Linked DNA regions of Ovis aries. The protein of the gene in region 1 interacts with the protein of each later gene in a biochemical or structural test. Links are inferred from orthologs where the notes say so. Each region holds a gene or a part of one and is shown on either strand. Other genes may lie near its edges.

The links.
Region 2: the proteins of PARP1 (region 1) and histone H3.3A form a complex in vitro, tested with the Homo sapiens proteins (2 studies listed by BioGRID, with this or other methods). The link is inferred for Ovis aries from reciprocal best matches to the Homo sapiens genes PARP1 and H3-3A.
Region 3: of the proteins of PARP1 (region 1) and PIAS4, one has a biochemical effect on the other in vitro, tested with the Homo sapiens proteins (3 studies listed by BioGRID and IntAct, with this or other methods). The link is inferred for Ovis aries from reciprocal best matches to the Homo sapiens genes PARP1 and PIAS4.

Annotation. Positions count from the first base shown.
Region 1 is NC_056065.1:28,672,601-28,676,111, forward strand, and holds part of PARP1 (poly [ADP-ribose] polymerase 1), read right to left. Parts: coding exon 3,302-3,511; intron 3,040-3,301; coding exon 2,971-3,039; intron 2,858-2,970; coding exon 2,725-2,857; intron 623-2,724; coding exon 427-622; intron 1-426. UniProt on the Homo sapiens protein: Poly-ADP-ribosyltransferase that mediates poly-ADP-ribosylation of proteins and plays a key role in DNA repair.
Region 2 is NC_056064.1:55,163,205-55,167,419, forward strand, and holds the start of histone H3.3A, read left to right. Parts: upstream 1-1,404; 5' UTR 1,405-1,526; intron 1,527-1,987; 5' UTR 1,988-1,997; coding exon 1,998-2,125; intron 2,126-2,240; coding exon 2,241-2,394; intron 2,395-2,491; coding exon 2,492-2,620; 3' UTR 2,621-4,215. UniProt on the Homo sapiens protein: Variant histone H3 which replaces conventional H3 in a wide range of nucleosomes in active genes. Constitutes the predominant form of histone H3 in non-dividing cells and is incorporated into chromatin independently of DNA synthesis.
Region 3 is NC_056058.1:17,802,336-17,806,594, reverse strand, and holds the start of PIAS4 (E3 SUMO-protein ligase PIAS4), read left to right. Parts: upstream 1-1,448; 5' UTR 1,449-1,473; coding exon 1,474-1,500; intron 1,501-4,259.

The DNA.
Region 1 (3,511 bases):
TTTATTCTGCTCATGTTACACTACGCTGATTTGATTTTTGCATGTTGACCCAACCTTGCATTCCTGGGAAAAATCCTACTCAATCACGGCGCCTAAATCCTCGTGTGCTGCTAGAGTCAGTTAGTATTTTACCGAAGGTGCTGCATTTATATCCATAACTATATTGGTCTGTAGTTTTCCTGTGATGTCTTTATCTGTCTTTGGTTATCAGGATAATACTGGCCTTGTATAACGAGTTGAAAAGTGTTCCTTTCTCTTCTGTTTTTTGGAAGAGTTTACGAAGGACCAGTATTAATTCTTTAAATACTTGGTGGAATTCATCAATGATGTCATCTGATTCATGGCAGGTTTTTTTTTTTTTTTTCCATGGCAGGTTTTTAAAAGAAAACCTTTTCCTAGCACTAGCAAGTGTCAGAGCATGATTACCTGGCCATAGTCAATCTCCAGAGGGTAGAACTTCTTGGGATGCTTTGTAAAGTTCTTAGAGTGCCAGGCATTTCCGGTTTTCTCTTCATATAATTTCATAAAATGCTCAATGGCATCCTCCTTGGATGGCATCTGCTCCAGTTTGTTACTACCAATCACCGTGCCCACACGGCCCCAGGACCTGAATATCCAGTACCTGTGGGAAGAGGAGAAGAGCATCAGATATAATTTTGCAGGTCGTCCGGTCATATTTCAGGATGAGCTTCCTCTCCCTGCTATTTCCCTTGAGGGAGAAAAGAGTTGTAAACAACCCAAAACGATGGTAACTGACAAAGAGGAACAAAAGGAACCAGTATTAAACAACTTTTATTTTAATTTCTATTAAACTGAGAGTTGTTAAGTTTAAAGTAATTTTAAAATGCCCTTCCATATCATACTGGCAAGTGAGCTATAAAAAGTACCAAAGAACAGTTTAACCTTGGATCTGGCAGCTGAACTTGAGGAGTAAATCGAGGCCTTTACATGGTGGTGGCGGTGGTTTAGTCACTAAGTCATGCCCGACTCTTGCGACCCCATGGACCGTAGCTAGCCAGGCTCCTCTGCCCATGGGATTCTCCAGGCAAGAATACTGGAATGAGTTGCCATTTCCTTCTCCAGAGGCCTTTACATAAAAACATCCCATTCCTTTTCCCAAATAAACACAGCAAGTATTACCCGGAAGTTATGCATTCATTAACGATAGGTACTAAAAGGAATGAAGAACCTTTGACTCAGATCAGAGGCTGAGATACAATGAAATGGGAGGAGGCAGGGGAGTGGTCCACAGGGTCAGCCACCTGCAGACCTAGGCTAATATACTCAGTTTTCATCTCAAGCTAGAGCTAAGTCCCAGGTACTCTAGGGGCAGGGCTGCCTAGCTTTGGGGGAGTGCATTTTTCTTAGTGAAAATCATACAGAAGTTAAATCTCACACCACAGTAAGTACAGATATAGCAGTAAAATCAGAGATTTCAAAGAAAAGCTGGTGCTTCCTGCTGGTTTTCTGGGCTACTGCCCAGAGGCATATAAGTTCATTCTCTGCTGGTTTTTTCCCCCTCTAGAAATGTTTGGAAGATACCACATGGACCTAACTTGTCATCTTCTAACAGCCCATAATGGCATTTCCCTATAAAAACCAATAAATCAAGGCCACCAGGATAAGCCACCCATTTGAAATCACCAGTATAACTTCTTGTGCGTTGGTAGTAGACAGTTCTGTTCTCATTGCCTGCGGTTTACGAACTATAGCACTCTGCGTTTTTACAAAAACCCCATTCCTCCTCCTGCACTCCAATACAAAGCTAGCTTTTGGAAGTTATGTTTTACAAGCAAGAAACCCTATCTTCAAATCTCCAACAAGAGTCAGCAGTAAACTAAATGATATAGGATTTTCTTTACAAACTTTGAATTGCCACACAGATGTTATGTGCCCTTTGAGGTTCACATTTTAAAACCTTCTTTCATTCATATGGATAGACTTGGCAGTCTTTTGATTTCTGGTTGTGCTGTGTGGCCTGTGTGATTTTAGTTCCTCGACCAGGGATTGAAACATGGAGTCTTAATGACTGGACCACCAGGGAAGTCCCCGAGGTTCACATTTTAAATGGCAGGTTTGTGAGAAGCTGAAGAAATGGGAAGAGCCTGAGCCTGCCAGTGCCTACAACTTGCAGCTGCCGAGATTTGCCAATTGCTGACATTCTCTCAGGGGTCTGCCTTTCAACTAGTAAAGCTCTTTTGAATCTCTTGGACTTCAACGGGTAAACTGTTTCCATTTGCTAAAAAGAAAAGGTCAAGTTCAAAATACAAAGTGCTTTTCTGCCGCTATTTGGGTTTAGCAAGAGTTCCTTTCACACACTTCTCCCGCTTACACGTAGCTCCCATTCCACAGTGGCTGTAACAGGGGCCCATCCGCATGTCGGAGGACCACTTCGACTAGGTAAGTACGGGCAGTCAAGCCAGCCCAGTCTCTCAGCATGCTAGGACCGGCTCTTACCTGGCTTCATTACACTGAAAATAAAAAATAAATAAAGAAGCAAACCCAAACGCCTTCGGTAACCCAAGAGCCTGAGGTGACATGGACGACCAAGGACAGCAAGGCTGTCCAGGGCCCACGGCCTCTTCCCTCCTTCACTGAAGACATCACCGCACACCTACGATCGTCGAGAGGTGGCTGGTCCCCAGGTGCGCGGACAGCCCAGCTCCGAGGGGCCTTACTCTCAGGAGCACGCTCCTCTGGACGCTTCCCCGCCCCCTGGCGCACCTGCTCTCTTTGTCATCCTCCAGAAGCTGCAGCTTGTAATAGGAGTTGGTCCCTTTGACGATGTCCACGAGCCCGAGGGTGGCGCTGAAGACCTTCCCACCTTTCTCGAGGACGTGCGCGTTGTGTTCCAGACCTGTCAGGACAGAGCTCCTGAGAGTCTGCCCCCATGGTGGGGGGAGGGAGGGGACCCAGCTGGTTCCCCAGGACCAGGGAACCTGGCAGCCCACTCTACTCCCATTTCCTCACCTGAATCAGGGTCGACGGCTGCTCCTCCTTTAAGAGTTAATTTCATCCTCTTTTCAGATTTGTTGGTACCTTGGAAGGAAACAGAGAAATGCAAACATTAAAAATAAACCAGAAAGGGGAAGGTGGCAGGTAGTGCAAGTGAGTCATCTTTGCCTGTGTCAGAGTCAACACAGGATATGTGTGTTGCCTTTCACCACCTGAAGCTGCTGCCATTCTGTGTCAAGGGAAGACGAACTGAGAAAGCTAGTAGGGGCAGCACTCATCAGACCACTGGGGCACAAAGGGAGAAGCTCTGCATGGGTGGACCCGATGGGGCCGCTCAGGGCCTCACCTTCCTCCTTGACAGGTCCCTTGCTTTTCTTGGAGGGCGCGGTCCCCGACTTCCCCCTTGGGGCCACTGCTTCAACAGGCTCCACCTTCACCTCGGCTCCCCAGGGGGACAAGAGGTGGGTGGAGAGCAACTCCTGAAGGCTCTTGGTGGAGGCAGAGATGTCCTGGAGGAAGTCCTCAGACACGACGCGGACGTTGGCTTCTTTTACTT
Region 2 (4,215 bases), on another chromosome or scaffold:
ATATAACTGAATCATCTGAAGAACTAAGTATTAAAATCCACTCAAGACATGTAGACAAAGGTAGGGATTACCATTATTTTTTTACATTTGAATAGAAAATTTATTATTTTCATTTTCCAAGTGTTTTCTTTTTCTATCAGGGAGGGGAAAAAAAAATCTTAAGGACAGTTGTCACTTGCTGCCAAATTGAGGGTAGTCTTTCTCTGGTGGTTTAGTCTCTTAAGTTGCCTCTGACTCTTGCAACCCTATGGACTGTAGCCTGCCAGGCTCCTCTGTCCATGGGATTCTCCAGGCAAGAATACTGGAGTGGGTTGCCATTTCCTTCTCCAGGGATTACCATTTTTATGTTTCTTCAGAAGTAATATATTCAAGGATAGACCGTTAAATACAAGGGACCGTATTTAATTTAGTTGTCTTTTGTTCTTGCCTGGAGAATCCCAGGGACAGGTGGGCTGCCATCTATGGGGTTGCACAGAGTCAGACACGACTGAAGTGACTTAGCAGCAGCAGTCTTTTGTTTATACTTTAGGTTTATACTTGCAAATACTGGTTTAGAATTGACTATTCCCATTCTGGCTGTAGTGATTTTGTTCAGTTGAATTACAGAATTTAAAAAAATATGTTGCCTAGTAAGTTACTCCTTAACTGTAAGCATATTGAAATCAGTGTTTTGTGGTGGTCTAAGGACATAAAAAACAGTCCTTATAAATAAAATAATTTATTGACATTTGTTTCTTTTTTATTTATTTGTTATTTACCTCTCCCCACCCCACCAAACAAAAGAACTGTATTTTGGTTAAAATGTATATGCCTCATAGATAAAATACTTGATAACATGATTTACTGAATTCTAATTTTCATTTACACTACTACCTATCAAAATGTTCATGAAAAGTAAGCAATCACAGGGAATGCATTTTATTTTACATTGGAAAATATTTACAAAATTTTCATGAAAATACCGTCTCCTTCATGGTATTAGCTTGATGCAAATAACGTTAGGCCCCTTGCCCTCCGGTCTGTCCAGATTAAGGACCAGTCCTGATAAGGACCAGTGCAATTCATTTGCATTGACTTTCTATTGTAGAGCTTTGGAACCAAGGGAAGGATCCAAACATAGCTCCATTTTATCCAATCAGAAGAGCGGCTTGGTGCTAAACTCTGATTCGTCCATTCTTCTTTGCATTCATCCAATCGTTAGGCCACTTTAACAGCCAATCAGTGGTCTAGATGTCCGCCAATCAGGGAACGGGGCCGAAGCACGGCCTTTGTGTCGGGGGATGTCAGCGCGTCGGCGAAAGCGTCAGCCAATAGAAAAAGTCATTGGTGTATGCAAATTAGGGTCCTATGACGCAGAGACGCAGCGTGAAGCGTGGGTATAAAAACCGAGGTATAGGGGGGCTTAGCGCGCAGAGCGGTTTGGTCGTTCGTTGGGGAGGGTTCGTGCAGTGTTTCAGCTACTGCGGCTCTTTGGGCAGCAGCGGCGGCGCGGTGGTCGGAGAAGCGGCCTAAAACTTCGGCATTAAGTAAGTGTTCATGGGTTTTATCTGTGACTTCAGGCTTGGCCAGCCGTTGATATCGCGGGTCGAGGCCGTTGAGAGCCAAGTGCCGACTGGTGCGGGCTACTCTGGCTGTTGGCGCCGGCTGTGGGGGCGGGTAGTTTTCCCTTGGGGTTTCGTTCCGGAACCGCGTCTCCGCCTTTTTCCCGCTGGTGATTCAGAGGTCCCGACGCTGGGTTCCGGGCAGCCGGGCCTCCGCCCGTCGAGGAGGGGAAGTGACTCCTCCCCGCGCCCCCCCCTCCCACAGGAGGCTGCTGCTACTCGCAGCCTGAGTCATTAGGGGAGGGGGAGGAGGCGGCGGCCCTCGGCCATCTGCCGTCCGCCTTGGGGCGCGAGGAGGCGGGAGGGCTGGGGCGCCGAGTGTCCGGGGCGCCGCACCCCGAGAGGCGAGCGTGCCTCGGCCCCGGAGTCACGGGTGTCTTCTACAGGTAAAAGAAAATGGCCCGAACCAAGCAGACTGCTCGTAAGTCAACGGGTGGGAAAGCGCCCCGCAAGCAGCTGGCCACCAAAGCGGCCAGGAAAAGCGCCCCCTCTACCGGCGGGGTGAAAAAACCTCATCGCTACAGGTAGGCAGCGCTACAGGGAGACGATGACTCGGCGGCGCTGCGGGCGGGATGCTTCCCGCGGCTCGCCGGCCGCTTTCGTAACCGGTGTCCCTTTGCGCTCTCCTGCTCGCTCCAGGCCCGGGACTGTTGCGCTTCGAGAAATCCGTCGTTACCAGAAATCCACCGAGCTTCTGATCCGGAAACTGCCTTTCCAGAGGTTGGTGAGGGAGATCGCCCAGGATTTCAAGACTGACTTGAGGTTCCAGAGTGCCGCCATCGGCGCGCTGCAGGTGAGCTGGCGGGGGCTGTGTGCGGCTGGGCGGAGGGGAGGGCTGGTGCGCGGCCCCCTCAGAGAGAGTCTAATAGTGTGGCTCTTGTCCTCCACAGGAGGCTAGCGAAGCGTACCTGGTGGGTTTGTTTGAAGATACTAATCTGTGTGCCATCCACGCTAAGAGAGTCACCATCATGCCCAAAGACATCCAGTTGGCTCGCCGGATACGGGGAGAGAGAGCTTAAGTGAAGGCAGTTTTTATGGTGTTTTGTAGTAAATTCTGTAAAATACTTCGGTTTAATTTGTGACTTTTTTTGTAAGAAATTGTTTATAATATGTTGCATTTGTACTTAAGTCATTCCATCTTTCACTCAGGATGACTGCGAAAAGTGACTGTTCACAGACCTCAGTGATGTGAGCACTGTTGCTCAGGAGTGACAAGTTGCTAATATGCAGAAGGGATGGGTGATATTTCTTGCTTCTCATGATGCATGTTTCTGTATGTTAATGACTTGTTGGGTAGCTATTAAGGTACTAGAATTGATAAATGTGTACAGGGTCCTTTTGCAATAAAACTGGTTATGACTTGATCCAAGTGTTTAACAATTGGGGCTGTTAAGTCTAACCATACATCACTGTGATAGAATGTGGGCTTTTTCAAGGGTGAAGATACAAGTCTTAACCACAGTGTAACTTACAGTTTCCTTAAAAAAAAAAAAGTAAACCTGGCAGCTATAGAATACACTATGTGCATTTATAATAGCTATTTTATATATTGTAGTGTCAACATTTTTAAATTAAATGTTTTACATTGACATGTGGTGGGGAGTGTTGTCTTTAAGGTGTGTAATTTAGAGTTCGATTGGTTTTCTCCTGAGTAGACTGCACTTGTTTACGTAGTAAAATGCTTTTCGCGTTATACCTTGCATAAGTCCTCATTCTACCACATGTTAAACTAACCTTCTAGCTGATAATGCAAACACTAACGGGGAGGGGGATTTATTTATAAGGGCTCTAGACTATAATACAAGTTACTCACACCAGCATCATCTGTTACTAATATAGTAGTTAGTGCAGCTTTTCTTTGTGTTGTGATTGGTCTCATAACTAGGTTGAACTTTTCTCTACCAAGGAGGAACAATACCGAACTTTTTCCTTGTGGGGTTTGTATTATAATAACTGTTAGGGTAAACTTGCTGTTGGGGAGGGACACAGCTTCAGCTTATTGAACCTCTGCCAGTTTAAATGGTGTTCATGTGGCATAGGTTCTGGGAAAATCACTTCATAGAGATGGCTTTCCAAGTGGTTTTAAAATTTATCCTTCTATTGGAAGTTTCTAGGTCAATTATGTATGTTGACTAAATTTACAAATAAACTTGTTTATTCAACTAAGTGTCAAAAACCTAAATTGAGTACCAAGCTTTTAAGATTAGCTGATTTCAAGTTTTACTTGATAGCAAAAGCAGTATTTACAAGAATAATTCTACAAAGCATGTAAACAGTCCTCTAGAAGCTTTTTAAAAATGCTATGACAACATTTTTGCAGTGTGGGCCTGTGACTAAAAGGCGGCTTCCCTGCCTCCCCGTATCTGTTGAGGAAAGGAAATTTAATTCTAGAACTCAAATTTGGGGTTTGTTCCTGAACCTATTTGTGAAGAACGTTTATAGATTTTTTATTTTTTAATTGAAGGATAAGTGCTTTATAGGATTTTGTTTCTTAACATCAATATGAATCAGCCTTAGCTGTAGGTGTATATATGTCCCCTCCCAGTATAGACTTTTTTATACAGTGAGTTACAAGTGCCCACAGGTGTAGAACTCGGTTTAAGTCTAAGCTGCC
Region 3 (4,259 bases), on another chromosome or scaffold:
CCCTAGGGAAGTTCTCACACCCTTAAAAAAAAAAAAAGAAAGTAACTGTAAGAAAAGTAAAACAAAACCCTGCTGAGTTACAGTTCTGGTGAGGCGAGGGAAGTCACTTATACAAAGTTGTATAACCTCTTATAGCATATTAAAAAGCAGAGACATTACTTTGCCAACAAAGGTCCGTCTAGTCAAGGCTATGGTTTTTCCTGTGGTCATGTATGGATGTCAGAGTTGGACTGTGAAGAAAGCTGAGCGCCGAAGAATTGATGCTTTTGAACTGTGGTGCTGGAGAAGACTCTTGAGAGTCCCTTGGAATGCAAGGCGATCCAACCAGTCTATTCTAAAGGAGATCAGTCCTGGGTGTTCTTTGGAAGGAGTGATGCTAAAGCTGAAACTCCAGTAGTTTGGCCACCTCATGCGAAGAGTTGACTCATTGGAAAAGACCCTGATGCTGGGAGGGATTGGGGGCAGGAGGAAAAGGGGACGACAGAGAGTTGGTGATGGACAGGGAGGCCTGGCGTGCTGCGATTCATAGGGTCGCAAAGAGTCAGACACGACTGAGGGCTGAACTGATACTCTCTTAAATTTTATTATTTTCTTCATCATGGCTATTTCTGCATTTTTATATAAAAATTAGTAACTTGATAACTGAGTCATTTGGCGCGCTTCATTTTCTCAAGGGATGGGCCCCGAAATACGTTTTTATCCTCTTGCTTTCTTTGACACAAGAAAGTTTGGGCTTAGCAGCTCACCGACACTGGGGAGCCACGGAGAGCTCTAAAGCTGGTAAATTTCCGATTAGCGCAAATTCCAAAGGTTTACCGTGGGTGGAGAGGCGGAAGTGGGCGGGAGGGTGGTCACCTGCACCGCGGGAATTGGGTAGGGGGTACAGCATTTCTCCGCCGGCGGCGCACCAAGGGGGTGTGGCGCCCTCGCCCTCTCAGCCACCCCAGGACCCGGATGTACAGCGCGTGGGGCTCCCGGCCCGCTGAGAATGAACCGCGCTGCGCTCCACGGCGCCTCACTGCACGCAGTGGCGGCCGCTGCGCGGGCCAACCATTTTCTCCCTCCTGGCAGCGAGGCGTCCGGTCACGCACCTGGAGGCTGCCTCGCGCAGGAGACCGCGACACCTGGCTGCATTGTTGTCGCCTCAACTGTCTACTCTCTCGTCAGACAGGACCCAGTATCCGCCCCAACCTGTGCCGGCCTTGTACCCCTTTAAGAAACCAGACACGGCCAGGGGTGGGCGTGGTCACAGTGAGTGAAACGGGGAGGGTGGGTGCGTAGTCGGGCAGCCCTGATTGGCCGGAGGCCCGGGCGGTGCCGCGCGCGCTTGCGCAGTGCGCGGTCGCGCGCGCCAGAGGGGAGGAGGGCGCGAGGGTGATAATTGGCCGCGGCGCGGGCCCCGCCCGCGAATGGAAGGCGATCACGTGACGCGACGGCTGGGGGCTCCCGGCGCGGGGGACGCTGGTGGCCAAGATGGCGGCGGAACTGGTGGAGGCCAAAGTGAGTGAGCGGCGGCGGCGCCGGCCAGGGCGGGCGGGGGACGGGGGTCGGGCGGCAGCCCGAGGTCTGTGCCTTCCGCTCGGGGCCCCACGGCGCGGCCCGCCTGCGGCTCGGCGTCCTGCCCCCTCGCCCGTCCCTGGCCTGGGGGCTCCGGTTGCGGGCGGGGCGCGGGAGGCCGGGGGCGGGGCCCCCAAAACCTCACCCCAGTCTCCGAGCAGGGGGTTCGGCCCCCCCAGGCGTGAGGTTGGGTCCTCCCCTCTCCAACCCTAGCGACTAGGGTCCAGATCGCGCTGAACGCAGGCACAGGGCCGCGCCTCCAGCTTGAGGCACATTCCCCCCGGACAGCGTGACGGGTTGGGCTGCTCGTCCCTTCCTCGAGGTCGGCGCTCTTTGGCTTGGGGGAGTGTCCGCCTCTCACCGCTTCCCATGGTATAGTGGGCTGGCATCTGGGTCTCAAGTCTCCTCGCCCAGCTGATCAGGCTGCGCTTGGCGGCTCTCTGCTCGGAAGGGTCCTCTGAGTTTTCTGCCACGGGTGATGAGCTGGGGATCCTGAACCGCCCCCAAACACAGGGTGTCTCTTGAGGGTCTGTACCCCAGGCTGGGGTTTAGAGCCCTTATTCAGCTCCCGCTCTGGTCCCAGAGCCCCGCCCCCTCCTGACACCCTTCTCACCCCGGAGTGAGCGCGGTGTTAACTGAGCTTGCCTTCCTGAGCTTGCCTTCCCGGTGTGATGGAGCCTTGGTCCTGGTGTCAGCTCCTTCCTAACTCTTTTCTCTCAGTCACAGGTCCTGGGTTTTGCGTTCCTTCTCACTCTTTCTCCTCCCGACAGCATTTGTGCAGCTGTGAACTCTGCTCCTGGGAGCCCTAGACTCCACACTCGGAGGATCAGACCCCGTTTCCAACCCCAGCTGCTTCCCTTATACTCAGGCCATCACGAGTCTACTGCTCAGACCACACTCCGCACACAGCCTCTCTTTAGATCTGTTTAGACAGCCCAGCTCTGGCGTCTGAGGCCCTGCTCTTTCTGCGGGTCTCTTACGTTGATCCTTGGAATGTCCCCAGTTGATTGCAAGGTTCTTTAAAATGGTTCCTAGTCTGTCTCCCCTGCATTGCTGTCTGGGGTCCACATTCTACATCCCAAGGATGTTACTCCTTCTAGCTTGAGGCCCCTTTTAACCGTCTTGGCACTAAGCTGGGTGCATCTCTCTCCCAGGGAAGTATCTACTGTCAGAGGCCCCTGTGAGGTGAGGCTCCAGAACCCTTGCCCCTGACTAGGCTAGGTTCTTGCCTGAGAAGTTTACTCAAGGCCGCTCATCTTTCGGAGGTGGGGAAGGGACCTAGCAAGACAGGCCCCGCCCCCTCCCCCGCTGATCTTTCCTCCCAGGGGTCCTGACCTGTAAATGTTTTCTCTCTCTCGCTCCTCCCTCTCCCTCCGTCTCCCTTTGCTTCCCACGGGGATCTGAAATACAGCCCTCATGGTTCTGTGATTATCCAGTATTACTCTCCCTTCACCCCTGAGTGCCCTCCACCTATACCTGCATCACACATGCGGCCACCGCTCTGTTTTGAGAAATTGAGAGTTGCCCTAGAGATGCAGGGGTCCGAACCCTGCCAGCCCAAGGTGGCATCCTATGGCCTGAAGTCCCCTGGAGCCCTGAAATTTAACTTCCTCAGGGCACTGTGGGCCTGTGGCTCTAGATGCAGGCCTGCCACTCCAGCCAGAGAGTAGGGTCTGAACTATTATACCATCTAGGGCCTTGAAATATGATCTGATGAACTCTACTTGACCCTTCCATGACTGGGGCCCCCTCCCCAATTAGATCAGATTGATCCTTTATCAAGTTCTCTAAACCATGAGCCTCTGTCCTAGGGGGTCTCAGAACTGCCACCCAGCCTTCTCTGATCCTCTGGAACCTTCCTGCTTCTTCAGCACCTTGCTGTCCCCATGGAGTGCTTTACATGTCATTGAAATAACCCCCTCTTTGAGACACTTTCTTAAACCTTTCATAGTGATAACCAGAGACTTATCTTTTGGGATGGATGCAAAATGGGCTGATCTGAGAGGAGAGCAAGGGGGACTTATTCATACACTTGGAAATCTGAGACTCTTCACCTGAGGCCCCTGAGAGGGGTTGCGGGGAAGGGTTGGACTGGGCACTCCCCTAGAGGGTGTGTAGCCATATGCGCTGAGTTCTGAGTTCCTGCAGTGAGGAGCCCCTGTTCAGTTGAGTGTGACTGTTGTATCCAGGCCGCTGTTTCTCCATGCGGCTCCTGAGGGGCCCAGAACTGAGGCTCTGGAAGCTGTTGTGGGCCTGGCGCTGTTTATAAACACAGATCTGAGGGGCAGGCGGGTCAAGATAAAGCCAGGCAGGAAGTGATCTGTGTAGTGCTTGGGGCTTCTTCCTGAATGTTTGCGCCCCGCTCATTCCGCTCCCCCCACCTCCGCCCAGTGTCAAGGGCAGGCTCCTGGGTAGTGGCAGCTGCTGAGAAATCCGAGTCCTGAACATATGGCAGCTCAAGAGGTGTGCCCCAGGCTGCGCGTGCACAGGCGGCTTCCGGATGTCCCCAACCTGGTGGAAGGGGCAGGTGGGGGCAGGGGCTTCCTAGGGCGGGGTGCCCTGTCGTGGTCAGACTCTTAAAGGCCAGGCCCACCTGCTTCAGGCTCAATGGCTGGTGGTCAGCTCTTCCACATGATTTCGCTTCTCCCCTTGAGTGCCTTGGGCCTCTTCCAGAAGAAACATCTTGTCTGCAAGCCTTTCTC